Linked DNA regions of Callithrix jacchus. The protein of the gene in region 2 interacts with the protein of the main gene of each other region in a pairwise test. Links are inferred from orthologs where the notes say so. Each region holds a gene or a part of one and is shown on either strand. Other genes may lie near its edges.

Region 1 (3,748 bases), on a different chromosome or scaffold from region 2:
ACCCTGGAGGCTGGGCGCGATGGCTCACACCTGTAATCCCAGCACTTTAGGAGGTTGACGCGAGTGGATCACTTGAGGTTAGGAGTTTGAGACCAGCCTAACCAACATGGTGAAACCCAGTTTCTACTAAAAATACAAAATTAGCCAGGCGTGGTGGCGTGCGCCTATAATCCCAGCTACTTGGGAGACTGAGGCAGGAGAATTGCTTGAACCTGGAGGCAGAGGTTACAGTGAGCCAAGATCTTGCCATTGCACGCTAGCCTGGGAAACAAGAGCGAAACTCCATCTCAAAAAAAAAAAAGAAAAGCATATGCCCTTGGGCTAAAGACACAGATCAGAGTCTTGAGTCCTACATCCCTGTCTCTGGGACCTCAGGCAAGCCGTGAGCCTCTTGAGCTTTGCAGCTCTGTTCTTTCCACAAGTGAGAGTTCCCTTGATAGAACTGTTGCGAATTAACAATTATAATAATTATTAATATAACGTTCAGCACCTGCCATGTGAGAAGCAGACACACAAATCTGTGGCTCACATGATGATGACGCTGATGGCTGCCACTGTTGCTGAGCTGTCTCTAAGGGTCTCTCCAGCTCTACAGGTCTAAGAGGGAGGGTGGGGAAACTTCTGCTTGTCCTCAGCCCTCGGCTCCCATCTCCCTTGTGTTGGTTCCCTCCTCCCTGGTTGGCGGGTACTGGACAGGTCTCCTGATCACACACAACAGCCAGTGCCTCCATCTGCAGCTGCTCATGGCTCCACTGCCTGCCGGGGAGCGGTACTTTCTCGCACTATAAAAAGCAGAGGCTGGGCAGCCTGTGAGGACGTCACATGCTCCCCTGGGGCCGTGAAGTGACCAGCAGTGGAGAGAACAGTTTCTCATGGCATTTCTCATGTTCAAAGCTCAGGATGAGAAAGCTCCCAGCATGTCGTGCTGCCTCCTTTCCTAGAAACTAGGTGGGGCAGCAGAGTCAGGAACACCTCACAGAGGGGCGGCTTCCTCCCTCCCTCCCAAGCAGGGAGTAGTTGGCCCAAAGGTGCCTGAAGCCGATGGAGGGTCCATAGAAGAGAATCTGGCTTTCTGGGGCTGGAAGAGGGTGACCCGGGCTAAGGGTGGGGACCACACCTGCACCCGCGGAGAAGCCTGGAGGGCTGAGTGGTGGGCAGTAGGTCGACAGGTGCGGTCCAGAAGCACCCAGGTGGCTCAGAGGCTCCAGCCCCAGGCCAGGGACCTCTCCCAGCGGCACGGGCACCAAGAGCTTCGCTTCCCAGGAGGGCCCTGGGGAAGCAACATTGTTTTTTCCCTCCCAAGCTGGGCCCCCTCCAGGACACCAAGGCTGTCAGACTCGGGGACCAAAGTCAGCCTTCCTATTCCATGAAGGACCCAGGTTGGCCACAGATGGGCCTGGCAGACCCGGCGGTCAGGTGGTCCCGGTGAGACTGGGGAGGGGTGAGGGCATCCCCGCCAGGTGCGGCCGTGGGCATTAGTACCACTCCTCTTCCACACCCTCAGAAACGCACCAGAGAAGAGTGAAGCAAGATAAACCCCCCACAAAAAGCTGGGGGGAAGGTGCGATGGCTCCCGACAGTATCCATGTGCAGAAGAGTCCGGCTCCTCCGCAGGCAGGGAGCCCCAGGACAGCGACTCCGCACAGAGGCGCCTATGCGGGTGGCTGAGCCAGGGCTGGGCGCCAGGGCTTCCCCCAAATCTGGGGTCCCTCTGCCCCTGCGCCTCCACCGCTCCCACCGGCCCTCCCGGCCCAGGTGTCTGCCCGCCCCGCCCTGGCCACCGGGCTGAAGCCACGAGGACAGGGGCGGGGTGGCGCCGGGTCCCTGCGGCTGGGCCACCTACCTCCGTCCCGCCGGCCGCTCCTCCCGCGCCGCCCTTAGAGCATCTCCCGGAGGCCGAGCCTCCTCCCCACCGGGTTCGGGGAGACGCGCAGACCCGCCGAAGGAGACAGAGCGGGGAGACCAGTCCTCGAGGCCGACGGTGCACAGAATGAGGGTGGGGGCGGTGCGAGCAGCCGCGGGTCCCCCCAGCACCTCTGGTCCGCCACCCAGGCTCCGAGGTCCCTGTGACCAGAAGCGGAAGCACGGTTTCTCGAAAGTAAAGGAAGAGACGCAGAAAGTGGGAAGACGCGCACGGAGCGAAGCCCAGCCAGATGTGAGCCGCGAGGAGCCGCCAACACTCCCAGCGCTTTCCGCCCAAACAGCAGCCGCGGAGGATTAACTGTGTGTGCCCCGCCGCCCCGAGGAACGCCGGCGGCCGCCTCCTCCCGCCCCTGGGGATCGCGCCAGGCTGGCAGTGGGGAGGGCCGCTTCCGTGCATCCGGAGGGCTGTGCAGAGGTGGAGGGGGTGCGATCCCGGGCGAGGATGCCCCGCGCAGGACGGGGGTGCCCACAGGGCAGAGCACCCCCAGTCACTTGGTAGCAGGGGGTGGGCTCCAAGGCCTGGGGATCCCCTGCAGCCAACCCCAAGGGGTCAGGTCTTCAGTGTCAGACCTGAGACACCCCGCACATCATCCGGGACTCAGAGATTTGGGGGAATCTGTGAGCACCCTACAAAAAAATGCCAAAGTGTGTGTGTGCGCCCGTGTGTGTATGTGTGTGTGTGCGTGTGCGTGTGTGCGAATGTGTGCGTGTGTCTGTGCGTGTGTGTGCGATATGTGTGCGTGAGCGCGCGCGTGTGTGTGCATGTGTGTGTGAGTGTGCACGCACACACATCTTTGGAAGACGATGGTCCACTGTGCTGTTTTGTTCAGGGTCTTGAGAGCTCTGTGATCTAATGGTTAGGAGTGGACCCACGGTGATGGAAGCATTCCTCCATCTCTATCAGGCCTCTCATTCCTTGATGTGAAGACCTGACATTTTCTCAATCATACACAAACATTTTTTCTGAACCATCCCCGTAGGCCGCCCTCCAATCCGGATCCCTAATCCGGGCTTCTCCAGAGCCGGCCCTGTTTGGGGCCCAGTCTCTATCCTCCGACTCTGCATCAGCCCAGCTCTCTCTGGAAAATTACCATATCACTAGCAGGGGAGGATCTGGCCAGAGATGGGAAGTCTGCTCTGATGATAGCAGCGTTCCCCACTTTCTTTTTGCTTCTTTTCAGCCCTGCTGCCCTGTTCTCTCTGATCTGCCCTTCGACTCGATGCTGTACCTGGGTTTTTTGGTTTTGTCATCACTCCTGTGAGGGCCTGTCTCTGGCTACATCTAAACAGGAAATATGAAAACAGGGATGCTGGTTGGGACATTCAGAGCGCTAGAGGCTTTACCTTTCCCTGCCTGGAATGTGCTCCCATCCGCTGCACCAACAACGGGACAGATGAAAAGAATCAGAGGAGAGGAAGAAGAGGGTGCATGCTCGATGCCAGCTGCCTTGCCCCAGGCGGGGTGAGGCCAGCACTCGGGTAGACATGAGGATGAATGGATGAGAACAGAAGGGGACGCCTCCGGGCAGGTGAGCCGCCCAACAGCCACTCCACAGAGGCCCTGGCTGCGTGTGCCAGCCCTTCCTGTGAGTACAGGGAGAAAGGCTGCCAGGCCTCTGGCACTCAGGGGGAACTCAGAGGACACGATGGCAACATGAAGTCAACACTACTTAACCAACTAGAGACAGGGCCTCTGCGAGGCTTAGGAGATCAGGGCTCGCCTGTGTTCTTGGCATACATGTCTGAGGCTTGGCAAAACCTACATCCCTGGTTGCTTATTGATACAGGAAAAGCCACAGATAAGCTTGTCTCCATTCCTGTAAGT
Region 2 (3,748 bases):
GAGTAAATATGAGTGAGAAGTGTGACCTTAGGACCAAAAATACATGTGCTGGCTTCATCTCACCAGGCAGAAGTTTCCAGGCTGGTCATTTTGCCTCCTTCATTCCCTGGATTATTGATTAAAAGAAACTTGCAGCAGTTTGACTCTGAAAGTCAAAAGGACAAAGTAGCAATCAGGCCATGACCGAAATGCACACAGAGGCCAAGGGACTTGCAGAGCACTTCCTTGTTTGTAAATCAGAGTCACAGTGGAGAGCTGAAGGCACTGCAGCCAGTAGCACCACCTGTGATTACGGGGCCACAAGTACCTGAACTCTCTGTGTCCTTCTTGCATGATGCATATACATAAGGTAACACCAAGGACTCGACTCACATCTCTGGAAGGAGACTACTTAACTCACTAATTATTTATGTTTCTATTTAGAATCTGATACCCAGAGCTAATCACTTATTTAAGCAAAATCTTTGGTCCTTACTGGAGCTGTCAGCCCACATTAGTGCTTAGGTCAACTGGTGGGAAAAGCAAAGCTCAGAAAAGCCCACTTCTGGAATCACAATGTTTACATTTTTAATTAGCTGGGTCACTCTGCAGGAATGACTTAGTCTCTCTAATCCTCAGTTTCTTTATCTGTATAATGGGAGTGATAATGATAGGATTCTGTTGAGAATTAAATGAAATAATGCAGGTCGGGTGATTACTATAGAATCTGGTAGACAGTAAGCACTTAATAAATGTTAGCAAAGATGTTGCAGCCGCTGACGATGGTGATGATGGTGATGATGCTGAAGAATGAGCAGAAGAAATACTTATTTAAACAATAATTCTATATCTTTGGAGTTAAAAGTCTTAAATAGTATCAGCCACAAACATGCCCATTCCTTTTTTTTTGTCTACAAACATTAGGCAATGTTCAGTTATGAGCAATACTGCCTATGGAAAATCTTTGAAAGTTTTGGCAAGGTATTAGAACAAGTCAGAACTACTTATTTGCCTGATACTGATTTTGGTGCATGCCCCTTTACTTATTGAAAAATAAAAGATGCCCAGGATTCTAGGGCCTGTCCAGTCAGCAGCCCCTGCCTATTAAGGAGTTGGTCCCAGCATGATAATGTTCCAGACCTACTGATGGCCTGAAGGTGTGGTGACCCTGTGTTTATTTCCTTGTTGATTTCCCTTCTCTGGCTCCAAGATCATTTTCCCATTGCCCGCAGGAAACAACATCTAGGGGAGAGGTAGGCCTGACTTGGCAACCCTAAAGGTGAACAAAAGGATCTTGACTTTTGGCAAGAGCAGAAGGAAGTTCAGGGGTGTCTCAGCCCCATCCAAACCAGACAGATTTGTCACTGATGGTAATGCATGCTGCTCTGCGGGAGACTGCTCTTCCTTGAATCTCCCCATAGCTGCTGTCAGATTTATGGATCTCTTCTACCCAAAGCCTTGCAGAAGGGGCAGGAGATGCCCTGGTTAACCCCTGCATGGAAAAAGGCGGAGCAGTTTTTATACACAGCTGGGGCACAGAACACTGGAAAGAGAAAGAAAAGTTTTCTGAGCTACTGCTAAGCCAGAAAAGCTCAGCTCTCAAAAGAACTATCTCCTGAGACCTCACACAGCTGGGAGACCTCATACAGCAAAGGTAAGATAGCCTTGTCCCTCCACCAGCTAGAATCTCATGCAGTTTTTTAAAACAACTCCACCTCTGCCCACTCGGCCTCCAACTCTCCCCTCTCTCTGTCTCTCTCTCTCTCTTTCTCTCTCTCTCTCTCTCTCTCTCTCTCTCTCTCTCTCTCTCTCTCTCTCACACACACACACACACACACACACACACACACGCATCAAATTGAAGAGAGTCTAAAAGATGGAAAATATCCAGGGGTGTCTTTTTCAAAACACTAGAAAGACCTCAGGACATTTGCTCTCTTTATACCTATTTTCCTGCAGTGGTCTTCATTAAAAGCTTCTTTACTTTCACAGATGAAAATGACTTGCCAGACAGGTCAGTGAAACCGTGAGGAATCCCACTAGCAGTAACTGGATTTACATGACATTATTCTTCATCAGTATTTAAAACACATCACACACAGACTTCATTTCACTCCGCAGTAGGAGTAGGTATTGCACTGCAGTTTTACCTACAGATAAAGAGGTTCAGAGAGCTGTGACCTGCCCACGGGTGTGTCGGGCTGGGGTGCCCGGCAGCACACCCTGTGCCCACTCCCGCCTCTCTTCTATAGAATGGCGACCTTACTCTTTAAACAAAATTCCAGACTACATTCTTGGCCATGTATTCTGACAAATGGTCTGATGAGAGGATGGAATTTTAGAAATTGAACTCTTCTGGAAAATCCAGAAATAGATAACCACAGTATCCTGTACAATATACCACTTTGTCATGTATCCCTGTTTACTTCCATTCCTGGGCATTGAATTCAGTTCAACAAATGTCGACAAACTATGTTCCCTGCTCCAACACTGACTGGGTCATATGTCAGGGTGCGATGCAAGCCCTGTGCCCAAGGAGAACTGAGGCAGCAGTTCAGACCAGGATGGGGAGCTCCCCTAAAGAGGTGAGCTTCAAACGAGCTCAGCATAAAGTGTGGACTTGGATTGAGGGAGAGTGTTTAGAAACACAAGTCCCTGGGAGGAATCTGTTGAGTGACCATTTACTTACACCTAGTCCATGGTGGCAGAGCTGAGGGGTGAGGAGCACAGTCTGAGGAATTAGACCGTCTGGCCTTGACTCTTGGTTCTACCTCTCACTAGCTCTACATCTTGGCGTACCTCGGTTAACCCCTCTAACCTCACCTTGCCAATATGTGAAATGGGAATGATGGTAATATGTCCCTCATAGGGTTGTCTTCAGCTGTAAATGAGATTATGCATGTGAAGTCTTTGCTGATGCATAATAAGTGCACAGTAAATATTAATACTAACTATCGTGATGGCCATGTGCCTGGTTCCAAGGGAGATGCAGGGAATACAGATAAGAGGAGGCCTACCCTCCATGTAACCAAAACCTCATGAGTTAGTTGTGTGCAACTAGTGCCATGTGGTGTGATGCATGCTCTGAGACTATGGGGGTGGAATCTTCTAAGTCTATGTGAGTTCCAGTTGGGGTTCTAGGGGACAGCGAAGGGGGCAGAGGTTTCACAGCAGAGGGCCTATGTGTAGGGCCTTAGTAAAGAATGGTGAAAAGAGCTAGACAGGTCTAATTCTGATTCCCAGCTTCCTCCTCTATTTATGTATCTATTTATTTCTATATTAATCCATATGTATTGAAAACCATAAATTCACACTTCCAACACCACAGAGTTTTCTCCCTTTCTGAATTTGTAACTGCCGTCATTAACATTGATCAGAGGCTGGCTCCCATTATCCTTAATATATTATTTGTTTATTTGTTCGGTCCCCCAAATATCACCAACTGCCATCATGACCAGTGTCCCCTGCCCCATTCAGATGCCCTCCGCACCCTGCTTAGGCCCTGATGCTTTGTTCTGGGCCTCCCTGAGCTGGCTCCTGGAATTCTGGAGCTACGATATGTCCTCCACACCCCGCACAGGTGCCTACTTTGCTCAGCCACGTGTAATATTTTTAAAGACTGTGACCTGCGCTGTGCATGTGTGTATGTACCTGTGTTGTCACTGTCTTTGATGGGGAACAGAGCTTTCTCCTTCGTATAGGCAGGGCACATGTCCTCAGCATCAGGCCTAAAGAAGTCAGGCTTATGCCATTCATTCTATTCCACTTG

Evidence for each region. The genes of interacting proteins can lie anywhere in the genome.
Region 1: the proteins of LNX1 (region 2) and C1QTNF1 interact in a two-hybrid assay, tested with the Homo sapiens proteins (2 studies listed by BioGRID and IntAct). The two-hybrid records come from large-scale screens. The link is inferred for Callithrix jacchus from reciprocal best matches to the Homo sapiens genes LNX1 and C1QTNF1.

The regions. Positions count from the first base shown.
Region 1 is NC_133506.1:134,764,489-134,768,236, reverse strand, and holds the start of C1QTNF1 (complement C1q tumor necrosis factor-related protein 1), read right to left. Parts: upstream 2,158-3,748; 5' UTR 1,844-2,157; intron 1-1,843.
Region 2 is NC_133504.1:143,048,435-143,052,182, forward strand, and holds the start of LNX1 (E3 ubiquitin-protein ligase LNX), read left to right. Parts: upstream 1-1,329; 5' UTR 1,330-1,633; intron 1,634-3,748.